Linked DNA regions of Ovis aries. The protein of the gene in region 2 purifies or fractionates together with the protein of the main gene of each other region. This does not show direct contact. Links are inferred from orthologs where the notes say so. Each region holds a gene or a part of one and is shown on either strand. Other genes may lie near its edges.

Region 1 (4,120 bases), on a different chromosome or scaffold from region 2:
TTTTTACAAATAAGATTCTGGGAAATAGAAATACACATTAAACCCCCTTAAAAATGTCAACATAAAGTATATAATATCTAAGCATTTCTGATGGAATTGCAACTACCTGCAAATTTTTCAATTTCTACTGAGCAATTAGATACACTGTTCTGTCATTTTTATCTAATTAATTACATCCTGCTCTCTGTGAAAAGAACACAAACAACTGTTCCATATTTATTTGATCCAATTATGCATATATAATTTTGGACACATGTTGCCTTTAGCAGAACTTGATTTCTTTGAATCTCAAATTCTGGGGTCAATTCATCCAGGCATTTATAACAGTCTGGGTCCCAGACTCCTTTCAAGTCCATGTACTCAAATGAAAGCAATTTTTCACACAGTTTCTGGGAGCACCTGGACTCCCCAAGTTCCCTAGGTCCCCTGTAGAGTCCGGGGGCAGGGGCAGTGGAAATGAGGAAACAAGCCCAGAAGCTAAAGTGACTCTTGTTGTCAGTTGGGTCCACTACCAAGATTCAAATTCCCGTCTCTTGACCCTCTGGCCATTTTAGGAGAGACAAGCCCTGGGCCTCTTGGCCTGGGGTTCAAAGCCTGATTCTGCTTCCTGTTGGCTAGCAATGTGTGCAATTTACATCAGCCCTCACTGCAGCAGTTTCTGGGTCTGAAGACTTCCCCATTCGCTTGCCCCCTTGTTAGCATTACAGCCATGTTTAATGTGATTATTTACAAGTGAGGACAGAGATGAACAGGGTAGGTGAGTGCCCTAGGCCACCAGGCTGCTACGGGATGTGGCTCCAAAGCCTGTAGTCCCCACCCTGCATCCCCAGTTCCTCCTGCTCCTGACCAGCACCAGAGTAGAATACAGGAAGTCAGGAGCCAGTCTCAAGGAGGAGCAGCCTTCAAGCTCAAGTTCAACACGGCCAACCAGCTCTCTCCTACAGAGGAAGGATCAGTGAGAGGACCAGGAGGGACAAGGAGGTCAGTGTTTTGTGGAAGAGGATGGAGTGACCCAGATGCAGTGAGGCCAGCCTGGGGGAGGGGAGGGGCTGCTGCCAGGGCGGCCTGGCCTCTGGCTCCCACCCAAGGGGTCGCAGAAACAGCCGGCGGCAGCAGCACAGGCTGAGGGAGGAGGCAGGGGCCGGGCTTCCTGGATGTCCAGTCACAGGTACTGGGCAGCAGCCCTGGGCTGAGGAATCTGAAAACGCCTCCCTTCCTAGGCTGTGGGCCCCGTTGCCAGAACACTTTCAGTTTCGTTTCTCTGCCTGCAAGAACTGAAACTTGAAACCGACAGACTCCGGAGACCAGAACATGGAGGGAGCCTTCCAGGTGTGCAGGAACTGGTAAGAAGTCACTTTCCCTGGTGGCCGACCTGAGGCTGGCTGGTGAGAGGGGCAGAGAGGATAAGCCTGTTTCTAAAGTGAAGAGGAAAGGGTCTGTGTGCCCAGGAAGGCCAGGGTGGGCCCCTGCGGTAGGAAGGGGTAAACTGAGGAGATGCCAGTGAGGGAGGCTCAGGGTTGGCAGACATCCCTGAACCCCGCCCCACCTCCAGGTACTGAAGACTTTCTGGGACAGTTCTACAGCCAAACAGCCAGGCTACCCATCCCTGCTGGACTACTCCTATTTTTCTGACCTTGGGTCCTAATTTGTATGCTGTTCATACCAGTCTTTGAAAGAAAGAGGCTCAGGCAGATTGTCTGGGATCATTCCCACTCCCACCTTTGGAGGGAGCTGTGGAGCAGGGTGAGGGGATAGAGCAGAGGTCCCAGACCACACCTCTAAATCATGGGGACCCAACCCCTTGAGGCACCTCACTCTCGAAGCTCCCTACCTGTGACAGGAACCAGGGGGATCCTTCCCCAAGGCCTTTCTCCAGCCAAACCCTCCTAGCTGTCTGGTGTTTGCACCAGCTCAGGAAAAAAGCTGAGGTGCCAGGCCAGGCAGAGGAGTACGAAGAGAGGAAGGGAGATTTTCCTGGTGGTCCAGTGATTAAGAGTCCATGCTTCCCAGAGTAGAAGAGTTTTGTATACATATATATAAGTAATATAATATATATTATGTATTATTTATATAATTATATTTATTATGTATTTATAAAGAAATATATAATGTATTTATATTTATTATATAATATTAAGTATAATTTATATGCATTAGATATGTATAATATATGTATTAGTATAATATAGTATATATATGTATGTATAGTATATAGGGTATATATGTATTAGAAAACTTACAAGTTTTTGCCTGACTAAAATGTGACATTTTGATTCCACTTGCTTGACTTAGTATAAATAGAATGCTATTTCTAATTTTAAAAAATAGATAAGCAACAAAGGCTTACTGTATAGCACAGGGAACTATAGTCAATATCTTGTAATAACCTATAATGGAAAATAATCTGAAAATAATATATATATTGGGTTTCCCTGGTGTCTCAGACAGTAAAGAATCTGCCTGGCCATGCAAAAGAGACGGGTTTGATCCCTGAGTCGGGAAGATCCCCTGGAGAAGGGAATGGCAACCCACTCCAATATTCTTGCCTGAGAAATCCCGTGGGCAGAGGAACCTGGGGGGCTACTGTCCATGGGGTCGCAAAGAGTCAGACACAGCTGAGCAACTAAACCTCAGCCTTCCACATTGCAGGCAGATTCTTTACCATCTGAGCCACCAGGGAAGCCCAGGTTAGAAGTCAAAAACACAGTCATATGCTTTTGACACAAAGGATCATAAATCAGAATGACATACTGGCGTTTTACAAAAAGTTCACCAAGGATACCTGCCTAGTCCAGGTGAGCACGCAGAGTACTGAGTAAGCAGTGAGTCACTGTGACTGAGCACAGAGCTGAGAAAAAACACTATTCTTTTCATTTATATTCCTGGCATCAGAAGAAAGAGAAAAAGAAACGGTTGAGTAGGCTCTTCCATCGATGAGGGGCTCTGGTTAATGTGTAGGACAAATGCACAATGTACATGAGCAAGGGAGGAGCCCCAAACACACCGAGAGTTTTATCTTTAAATTGTTCTTGTCCTGCCTTAAAATATAAATTTTATTTCATCAGTCACAATCAAGACAATGAAACTATTCATTACCTCCCAAAGGTTTCTCTTGTCCCTTTGTAATTGCTCCCTCCTGCTCCTTCTTACCCACCGTGCTCACCCTGGGCAGCATAAGAGCTTTGCAGAGCATCCTTACCATTACGTCATGATTCAGCATTGTTCTGATTTGAGATCAACATGGAGAAGGCGAGGCAGGTGGTCTCATCATCATATTTTCAGTGCTTGCGGCCTTGGAAGATCTTCATCCAGGAGCCCCGGGCATAAAATATGGCTCCATGCTTTATGCCATGAAATAAACCTGCTTTTCCTCCTTCTTGATCCTGCAGCAAAAGAAAGGTGGCCTCCAACCACCTGGCCCTCCATGAGGCCCACTGTCTGATGTTTCTGGTCCTCTGCCCGGAGTGCAAGGAACCCGTCTTGCAGCATGAGATGGAAGAACACCGCCAGGGCGGGCACCAGCAGGTGGGGAGGCAGATTGGGGGATGGAGGTGGAGGGGCAGGGTCCTCTCTGCAGCCCGTCTCATGGCTGCCTGCCGTGGGCAAGTCCCTCAGCCCCAGCGCCCAGCCCCCTGTGCAAAGTGGAAAGGGTAGATAATCCTGCCCTTCCTGCACTGCCACCTGGGCTTCCCTGGTGGCCCAGATGGTAAAGAAACTACCTGCAATGCAGGAGACCTGGGTTCCATCCCTGGGTCAGGAAGATTCAAGGGAATGGCAACTCACTCCAGTATTCTGGCCTGGAAAATCCCATGGACAGAGAAGCCTGGTGGATTACAGTCCATGGGGTCACAAAGAGTCGGACACGACTGAGCTACTAACACTTCTTTCCTGTACTGCATTGAGTAGACCCTGGTTTCCCATTCCCAATCCTTTCCCTACAGGTGTATGAGGTTGGCCAAGCCTAGGGGTCCCTGTTTTGGGAAAAGTAAAATGTTCTTTTGAGATGTGTCAAGAGGAGAGACAGGAAAGGGGAGCTTGGAAGGCAGTCACGGCCAAGGTTGGTCAAGCCAACCTTTCTCTCCAGCTGTTTCTGGAGCTCCTCAAGCTCAGGCATCCATCT
Region 2 (4,021 bases):
GATGTCCTTTCCATGTCACAGTCTAACAGGCTGCCCAAAGATTATTTGTCTAGAGGAATATGTTTTGCTTGACTTACTATTTACTACTGATTACAGTCAAGTCTCTCTGAAGTCTCTATTAACTTGCAGACTGTTTGTAGAGATGCAAATGCTTCTGTCAAATAGAAATGACAGCCTCCAAGCTAACAGTTGTATTTCCCTGTAGGACATTAAACAGTATTGTATTGAAATCAAACTTCATAGTTTTACTTTATAATTATTTCTTTGAGTGCCTATATGCACTTTCTTTCAAGTTCTCCTTTGTTTATTTATTTGTTGTACTGGGTCATCATTACTGTGCAGTGGCTTCTCTTGACACAAAGCGTGAGCTCTAGGGTGTAGAGGCTTCAGTAGTTGTGGCTTATGGGCTTGGTTGCCCCAGCATGTGGGATCTTCACAGACCAGGGATTGAACCCATTTCCTCTGTATTAGCAAGTGAATTCTTAGCCACTGGACCACCAGAGACGTCAAAATTCTCCTTTGAATCAACTTAACATACTGCTGTCTCCTCATTAATGAATTAAATATTTATAGGGGCTTATTCTATATTTTGTATGTCACATATTTTTAAACATTTGTATTAGAGTTTAGCTGCTTTACAATGTTGCATTAGTTTCTGCTGTACAGCAACGTGAATCAGTAATATGTATACATATATCCGCCCTTTTTTTTAGATTTCCTTCCCATTTAGGTCACCACAGAGCACTGAGTAGAGCTCTCTATGCTATACAGTAGGTTCTCCTTGTCACATTTTCAGTTTTCTAAAAATTATACTTTGACAGTGGACACGTAGCTATGGCAAAGGTGAAACACTCTTCAGGTGTTTAATTGAACAGTGGATATAAATGAGAGGGCTGAGGCAAGTGAGGAGGATGGTGGGTGCCATAAGGTAACAACAGCTGAAAGATAGGTTCGTGAGGATGTTAAAAATATCCCCTGGGGACTCCCAGACATGACTTGGTGAAACAAACGTTTTACCTAAAGTTCCTGATTTCATCTTGATTGTGAAGGCAGAAGGAACTCAGAAAAGGGAAGCTGTCCAAGTTTCACTGAGACATTATTTCAAAACCTTTTCATGGAAACTTCTAATTGGATATCCTTTGGCCAGCTTGAACTCATGTCTAAAACTGTACTTCCTTTTCCACTCAAACTTATTTCTACCATTTTCCCCACTTCTTGAATGGCAACTCTTCTTACCCAGTCCTTCAAGCCTGAAACTGAAAAGTCATCCTGGACTTCTCTAGACTCTACGTATAAAATCAACATGGTCAACGTAAATAAAAAGGTAAACGGAGACAGCCTCAGTTTACCAGAAATTTAGTTTATTTGGGAATAGCAGAGAAATTGCAATTCAAGAAATGCAAGCTGTATCAAGCTACAGGTGAGTCCCTTGAGGGTTCAGGGTGGGCTCCATTTATGGGCAAGGAGTGCAAAGAGGAGGATGTCCAGCCAGAGCGCAAGCAGCAAGTTCACTGGCTTGAGGATGGGGAGGGATGTTTGTTGGTCAGGAGATAAGTCTCTGTCCTCTGGAAGTCAGGCATTTATGGGAAATCAGTCTCTTGGTTAAGTTCCATTCTTCTGAGGACACATGCCTGAGATTCTCTATTTCCAATCCTCCAGTTCCATTTCAGGTTGAAACCCTCTCACAGTACCCAAGTCTTAACTAATTATATCTCATAAACATTTTCCCCTTCCTGCTACTGTTTTGTTAATTCAGTTCTTTATCACCTCTCGCTTGATTAGCCTCCTCACCTGACTTAGGTTTCACCTTTCTTATCACTCATCCTGCCAGTCTAGTTTATACAATGTTGCCAGTTTCACCTCATTAAAAAATATTATAATCATGTTACTCCTCTGATTAAAACCCTTCAAGGGGTGGGGGGAGACTTCAAGGGAAGCCAGTGTAGAAGTGGAGTTGATGGAATTTGATAACCAAGTGAGTCAAGCAATCCGGGATGTGAAAAGACTCTTCAACGTTTTTACTGCCTATAGGGTAAAGTCCAGTCCAGGCTCATAACACTAAGGCAATTTACACCTGCTCTCAACTTACTTTATCAGTCTCATCTTCAGGCCCTCCCTAACAAATACCTTATACTATGATTATATCGCACTTCTCACCATGCTCTTCATGCTTCCTAGTCTTTCTGGCCACTGTTCCCTTTGTCCCAAATGACCTCATCTCTCTTCTCTGCTAAGTTCATTCCTATTCACCTGTCAAACTCCTCCAGGTGGAACTCACTGGTGTCTCCTTAAGTTTGGCACTATAGATGCCTTAATCCTGACACTGGTAGCCCTTGACCAGCTTACCAGCCAACTGGTGGTCACAACTCAATGTCCTCCTCCACCATGTGACAACGAAAGGCAATATCTGACCCTAGACAGGCTCCTGTACTGGGGTGGGGTAAGGGAATACTTAAAGGACATTATTAGGTCAACTGCTAAAATTGGAATATGGGATGATAGATTAAAGTGTTGTATCATGGAAATTCCCTCATGGTCCAATGGTTAGGATTCTGCCTGCCACTGCAGGGGGCAAGGGTTCAACCCCTGGTCAGAGAGCTAAGATCTCACAAGCTGTGTGGAGTGGCCAAAAATAATAAAGTGTTGTATTAATGTAAATTTCTGAAGTTGATAATTGGATTGTGGTTAAAGTAAGAGAATATTACCATACTCTTCAGAAATATGCACTGAAGTATTTAGGGGTGAAGGGCAATGATATATAATTCTCCCCAACAGTTCAGGAGAAAAGATAGAGAGAAAGGTAGATCATACAAATGATAAAGCACATGGGGTAAAAAGTTAACAGGTGAATCTGGGGTAAAGATGTTTGAGGAGGTCATCAGGAGGAAATGACTGCCAGTTGACCCTGGGATTGGACAAGCAATGGGAGGCTTCTTATCCCCTCCCCTGCTTGCTTGGAATTCTGCCCACTGCTCCCATGCTGCTGCTGCTAAGTTGCTTCAGTCGTGTCCAACTCTGTGCGACCCCATGGACGGCAGCCCACCAAGCTCCCCTGTGCCTGGGATTCTCCAGGCAAGAACACTGGAGTGGGTTGCCATTTCCTTCTCCAATGCATGAAAGTGAAAAGTGAAAGTGAAGTCGCTCAGTCGTCTCCGACTCTTAGTGACCCCATGGACTGCAGCCCACCAGGCTCCTCCGTCCATGGGATTTTCCAGGCAGGAGTACTGGAGTAGGGTACCATTGCCTTCTCCAACTGCTCCCATAGCCAGAGGTGATTCAAGGCCAGAGCTCTGAGAGAGTGAGGTATTGAGACCACCTGGACTGAATAAGTGACTGAGCCCAGTTTGGGCCTCTGTGTAAACTTTTAAGATTCTGGCAGGTGGGTGTGGAGATGGGTTTGTTTTGGGACCATCCAAGATGAGCCTCCTATGTAAGTTTCCTAACTTACAAAACCTCCTCCTACCAGTCTGGGGTGGTCTGCCTCTTTGGTCTCTCCTCGCTTCTGAGGATAAGGCGCCAATCTCAAATTTCACCTGGGGAGCTCCAGAGGTTTTGAACCGACAAAAGGGTTTATAACTGTTCTTTAAACTATTTCTTTAAAAAAAAAAATGTATTGGCATCTAGTTGCTTTACAGGACTTCACCAGTAATGAATCCGCCAGCAGTGCAGGAGATGTGGGTTCGATCCCTGGGTCAGGGTTCGATCCCTGGAGAAGGAAATGGCAACCCACTCCAGTATTCTTGCCTGGAGAATCCCCATGGACAGAGGAGCCTGGTGGGCTACAGTCCATGGGGTCTCAAAGAGTCAGACACGGCTGAAGGAACTGAGCGTGCGTGTGTGCATAGTTACTTAACAATGTTGTGTTAGTTTCTGCTGTACAGCAAAGTGAACCAGTTATACATATATCCCTTCATTTCTAGATTTCCTCCCCATTTAAGTGACCACAGAGCATTGAGTAGAGTTCTGAGTGCATGCATGCTAAGTCACTTCAGTTGTGTCTGACTCTTTGTGACCCCATGGA
Region 3 (4,054 bases), on a different chromosome or scaffold from region 2:
GTCTCTTCAGTCAGTTACTGCAGGTGGCTAACAGGAACAGTGCCACACGGCAGCCACACGACCGGGAAAACGCTGCCACAGCCCCCTCCGGACCTGTTTCTTCCAGACCCACCAGGCCCGGCGGGAAGGGGCACCCGGACCAGAGGCTGGCCCCGCCCATATTCCTTCTAGGCGGGGTCAGTGTCCGGGGCTGTGAGGTGCCTCATGTGGGGCGTGTCCCGTGAGACAGGCCGTCGGCTTTGTCTCCAGAAGTCCGGGCTACAGAGGGAACTGCTGGATGGCCCCGGGCCCGCAGACAGGATGAGGGGCAGGTAGGCAGGCAGCCGGCAGAGGCCTGGGTGGGGCCGGAGCCTCGCTGCTCGGTCAGAGCCCAGCATTGCCTCAGCCCTGCTCAGTGACGCAGCAGGGCCCAGAACGGCCCCGTGTAAGGCACTCTCCACTTGCGAAGGCGAGACGCGCCTCCAAATTGAGAAATAAAGACAAGTTAGCGCATGGAACTCTGCCCCACGCTGGGCGCCAGCTGGACGGGAGGGGCACTGGGGGAGAGCGGACACACGCGCACGTGCGGCTGAGTCCCTCTGCTAGTCGCCTGAAGCTGCCGCCGCACTGTTCATCAGCTAACCCCAGGACCAAATGTTTCTGGAGTTAGATACCAAAAAAGTGAATCCTCCTCAGACCACTGGTGATTTAAAGGAAGAAATATGAGTTTCCAGAGTTATGCCTATGGCTGGTTCATGCTGATGTTTGACAGAAAACAACAAAATTCTGTAAAGCAGTTATCCTTCAGTTAAAAAAATAAATTTAAAAAGAAAAGAGTTGTTTGGAGACCAGAACAGCAGCCAATACGCTCGCCTTTTTCGCGCCGCCTCAAACGAGTCTCGCCCCCTCGGACGAGTCCCGCCCCCATGTCGCCTCTGGCCTATCACGGGCCGTGTGTCTCACGAGTCCCGCCCCCACGTAGTCCCCAGCCTATCCCGCAGCGCTTTCGCATCACACCGCCTTCCTATTTCCCTGCTGGTGGCGCGCCCGCTCTGACCCTTGACCTCTCTCTGGACTTTCCCGCGCCGCTGAGTCCCGCCTCCCAGAGCAAGCGCTCCGCCCCCGCCCTCGCTCTGGGCCTATCCCGCGTCGCGCCGCACACGAGTCCCGCCCCATCCTCTCCCCAGACCTATCCTGTGTCGCGCCGCGTATTAGTCCCGCCCCCCGCTCCGCGCCGGGTTGGCGCGCGGCTGTGACGTCACGGGCAAGAGAGGCGCGGCGGCCGAGCGGAGCCGCTCCGGGCCGCGGCCATGCCCAAGCGGGGCTGCCCCTTCGCGGATGCGGCCCCGCTGCAGCTCAAAGTGCGTGTCGGCCAGAGAGAACTGAGTCGCGGCGTGTGCGCCGAGCGCCTCACACGAGAGATTTTCGGTGAGTGCTGTGAAGCGGGGCTGGGCGGGGGGTCCCCACCGGCCGCGCCCGCTGGAGCCGGTGCCCGTGTTCCCCGCCGCCTGACCGGGCTTAGGATCCGCGAGAAGGACGGCGTGAATGCTCCCGCGTCCACGACCTGCCCCTTCCGCACCTTCCGAAACGGACGGCTTCTGCGTGGGGCCGAGTCGGGGCTCGGTCCTGCGGGAATACTGGACTCACAGGGACCCGCTCTGATCTGACCAGCCCAGCGATAGGCCTCCGGGTCCCGCCTCCCGGGACTCGTCCCGGTGGGAAGGTCGGCAGAGGCACCCCTTCAAACCCGAGAGGCTTGTGTGGAGCGCGCCCTCCTTGCCAGGCGGTGCCGCTGCTGAGGGGGCCAGTCGAAGGAGGACTCTCTAGAGGGGCAGACACGGGTCACCGAAGGACCACCTGCAGGCTGTCAGGTCTCCTGGAGGAAGAGTCAAAGCCAGATTCTGCGGGGTTAGACAGGCAGAGAGGGAAAGGAAGGAAATTTCCCGGCAGAGGGAACAGCCTGTGCGAAAACCGGGGCGCTGGAGTGTGCTGTCCGGCTCTGCACGGCTGCACTGTCCAGTTGAAAAATGTGAGGGCCCTGACCTAAGCCTTCTCCTCTGACTTCTTCAGGCACGTTTTTGAATGCATGGATAATACTGACATCGCTTTGGAGAGATTAGCAGGTGATGTAAATAAGTGAAGCCTAGGGTACTTGGGCCAGACTGCAACTGTTACTCACTCTCTCAGGACCTTCCAAAAACGAAAACACTGCAAACAGAAGGGAGGGCTTCCCTGGCGTCTCAGACAGTAAAGAACCCGCCTGCAGTGCTGGAGGCCTGGGTTTGATCCCTGGAGGATCCCCAGGAGGAGGGCACGGGAACCCACTCCAGTATTCTTGCCTGGAGAATCCTATGGACAGAGGAGCCTGGTGGGCTACAGTCCATGGGGTCGCAAAGAGTCAGACACGACTGAGTGACTAACACACACACATAAGTCAGTCTAGCTCTTGACCACAGTGTCCTGGACCATTTGCAGAGCTTGGCCCACGCAGGGCCCATCAGGGAGGGGGTGCTAGGCTCCCTGGACATTCTCTGAGAAGGACAGGGCCTTGTGAGGCCCGTGTGAACTCATGTGTAATGATTTCCAAGTCTTAAACTCTCGCCTCTTTATGTTGAACTGGCCACAGGCCCTTGAAGACAAGTGTTAGTCTGGCCACATGACCTGCCCCCTGCCCAGTCCCATCCTGTTACAAACGGGGAGACTGGAGGAGGAGGAGCTGGGTGTGGCAAGCTGCCATCACTTCCGTGAGTTATCAGCTGTGTGTTTCTGTGATATCACCCAGCACCAGCAGCTTCTAAGGTCTCCACCCTAGCTCTGTTGGGACAGAGCAGAGAACCACAGAGCATTGCTGGGCTGGCATTTAGCATTTCACCTTGCGAAAGCTGCTGCTCGTGGCTGGGGAGATGTCCAGGCCCCACAGAGGTCTGGAAAGTTCTGGGGTACCTTGTCAGGAGCCAGCTGTGGCTGTGCATTTTGCCAGCAGCTCTGCAGTAGCCAAAAGGTTGCAGGCTCAGCCCTGAGTTTCTTGCTGTGCTTTAGTTGGCTATCCACAGTGCAGAAGGGAATGGAGACGGAGATGGCAGCCCACTCCAGTGTTCTTGCCTGGAGAATCCCAGGGACGGAGGAGCCTGGCGGGCTGCCGTCTGTGGGGTCGCACAGAGTCAGACACGACTGAAGCGACTCAGCAGCAGCAGCACAGAGCTTCCTCTGTCAGAGGAGGCCTGCTTGTGGGTTCTGGGGAGGAGGTGAGGCCACACGTTGTGAAAAATGAGCAGAGTGACGGGACGGGGAGCCCAGGTGGGGCTGCAGGCTGCAGAACCTGGCTGGAGGAGGTGCCTGCTGAGCCCGGGCCGGAGGGCAGCCTCGCCAGGGGCAGCTTGGTCCCGGGTGACTGGAAATCTGCTCAGAGGAGGGCTCAGCACGCACAGCTCCAGGGACAGGCGGCCCCGCAGGGGCTTCCGTACCGCAGGGGTGTAAGCGGGCAATGCTTGTCCTCCCCAGAGAAGACCACGCAGCTTCTCTTCCGTGGAGCCCAGGCCTGCATGGACCCTGCATGGGAGGAAGGCTGCGCCATTGTCCACACGCCAGAGTCCCCGAGGCCCGGCCCCACAGAAGCCCCTCGGGCCGCGCGTGGGCAGATGCTGATTGGGCCCGACGGCCGGCTGACCCGGAGTCAAGCGCAGGCCTCCGAGGCTGGTGAGTAAGGCGGCCGGCAGGCGCTTCCCAGGTCTCTGCTGCAGACAGGATGGGGTGGGGGCTCTTCCTCCTGGAGCTGGGCCGGAGTCTGATGCCGGGAGTGGGGCGAGTGCCTGGAGGTTCCCGCTGCAGGAGGCGCTCCCCGCTCTGATGTATGGGAACTGTGAGCAGCTCTGAGTGTTCAGTCAGAAAGGAGCGGGCCCCCCCCGGGTGGCCCTCGTGGGCGTCCTGCCTGCTCCCACCTGGAGCTCTCATCCGCATCCCTCTGCACTGTGCTGTAGACTCAGACCGTCACGTGCGTCACAGCTAAACCCCCACCCCTGGGGGCCCAGGAAGCCCTGTGTTAAGCCAGTACACGGGGGCCACACTTGGAGACGCA

The links.
Region 1: the proteins of XIAP (region 2) and XAF1 purify together in Homo sapiens (affinity purification with western blotting; 5 studies listed by BioGRID). This does not show direct contact. The link is inferred for Ovis aries from reciprocal best matches to the Homo sapiens genes XIAP and XAF1.
Region 3: the proteins of XIAP (region 2) and SIVA1 purify together in Homo sapiens (affinity purification with western blotting; 3 studies listed by BioGRID). This does not show direct contact. The link is inferred for Ovis aries from reciprocal best matches to the Homo sapiens genes XIAP and SIVA1.

Annotation. Positions count from the first base shown.
Region 1 is NC_056064.1:25,036,300-25,040,419, reverse strand, and holds the start of XAF1 (XIAP-associated factor 1), read left to right. Parts: upstream 1-1,292; 5' UTR 1,293-1,311; coding exon 1,312-1,343; intron 1,344-3,389; coding exon 3,390-3,525; intron 3,526-4,120. UniProt on the Homo sapiens protein: Seems to function as a negative regulator of members of the IAP (inhibitor of apoptosis protein) family. Inhibits anti-caspase activity of BIRC4. Induces cleavage and inactivation of BIRC4 independent of caspase activation.
Region 2 is NC_056080.1:107,806,138-107,810,158, forward strand, and holds the start of XIAP (E3 ubiquitin-protein ligase XIAP), read left to right. Parts: upstream 1-1,198; 5' UTR 1,199-1,420; intron 1,421-4,021.
Region 3 is NC_056071.1:66,950,862-66,954,915, forward strand, and holds the start of SIVA1 (apoptosis regulatory protein Siva), read left to right. Parts: upstream 1-1,245; 5' UTR 1,246-1,289; coding exon 1,290-1,407; intron 1,408-3,480; coding exon 3,481-3,675; intron 3,676-4,054. UniProt on the Homo sapiens protein: Induces CD27-mediated apoptosis. Inhibits BCL2L1 isoform Bcl-x(L) anti-apoptotic activity. Inhibits activation of NF-kappa-B and promotes T-cell receptor-mediated apoptosis.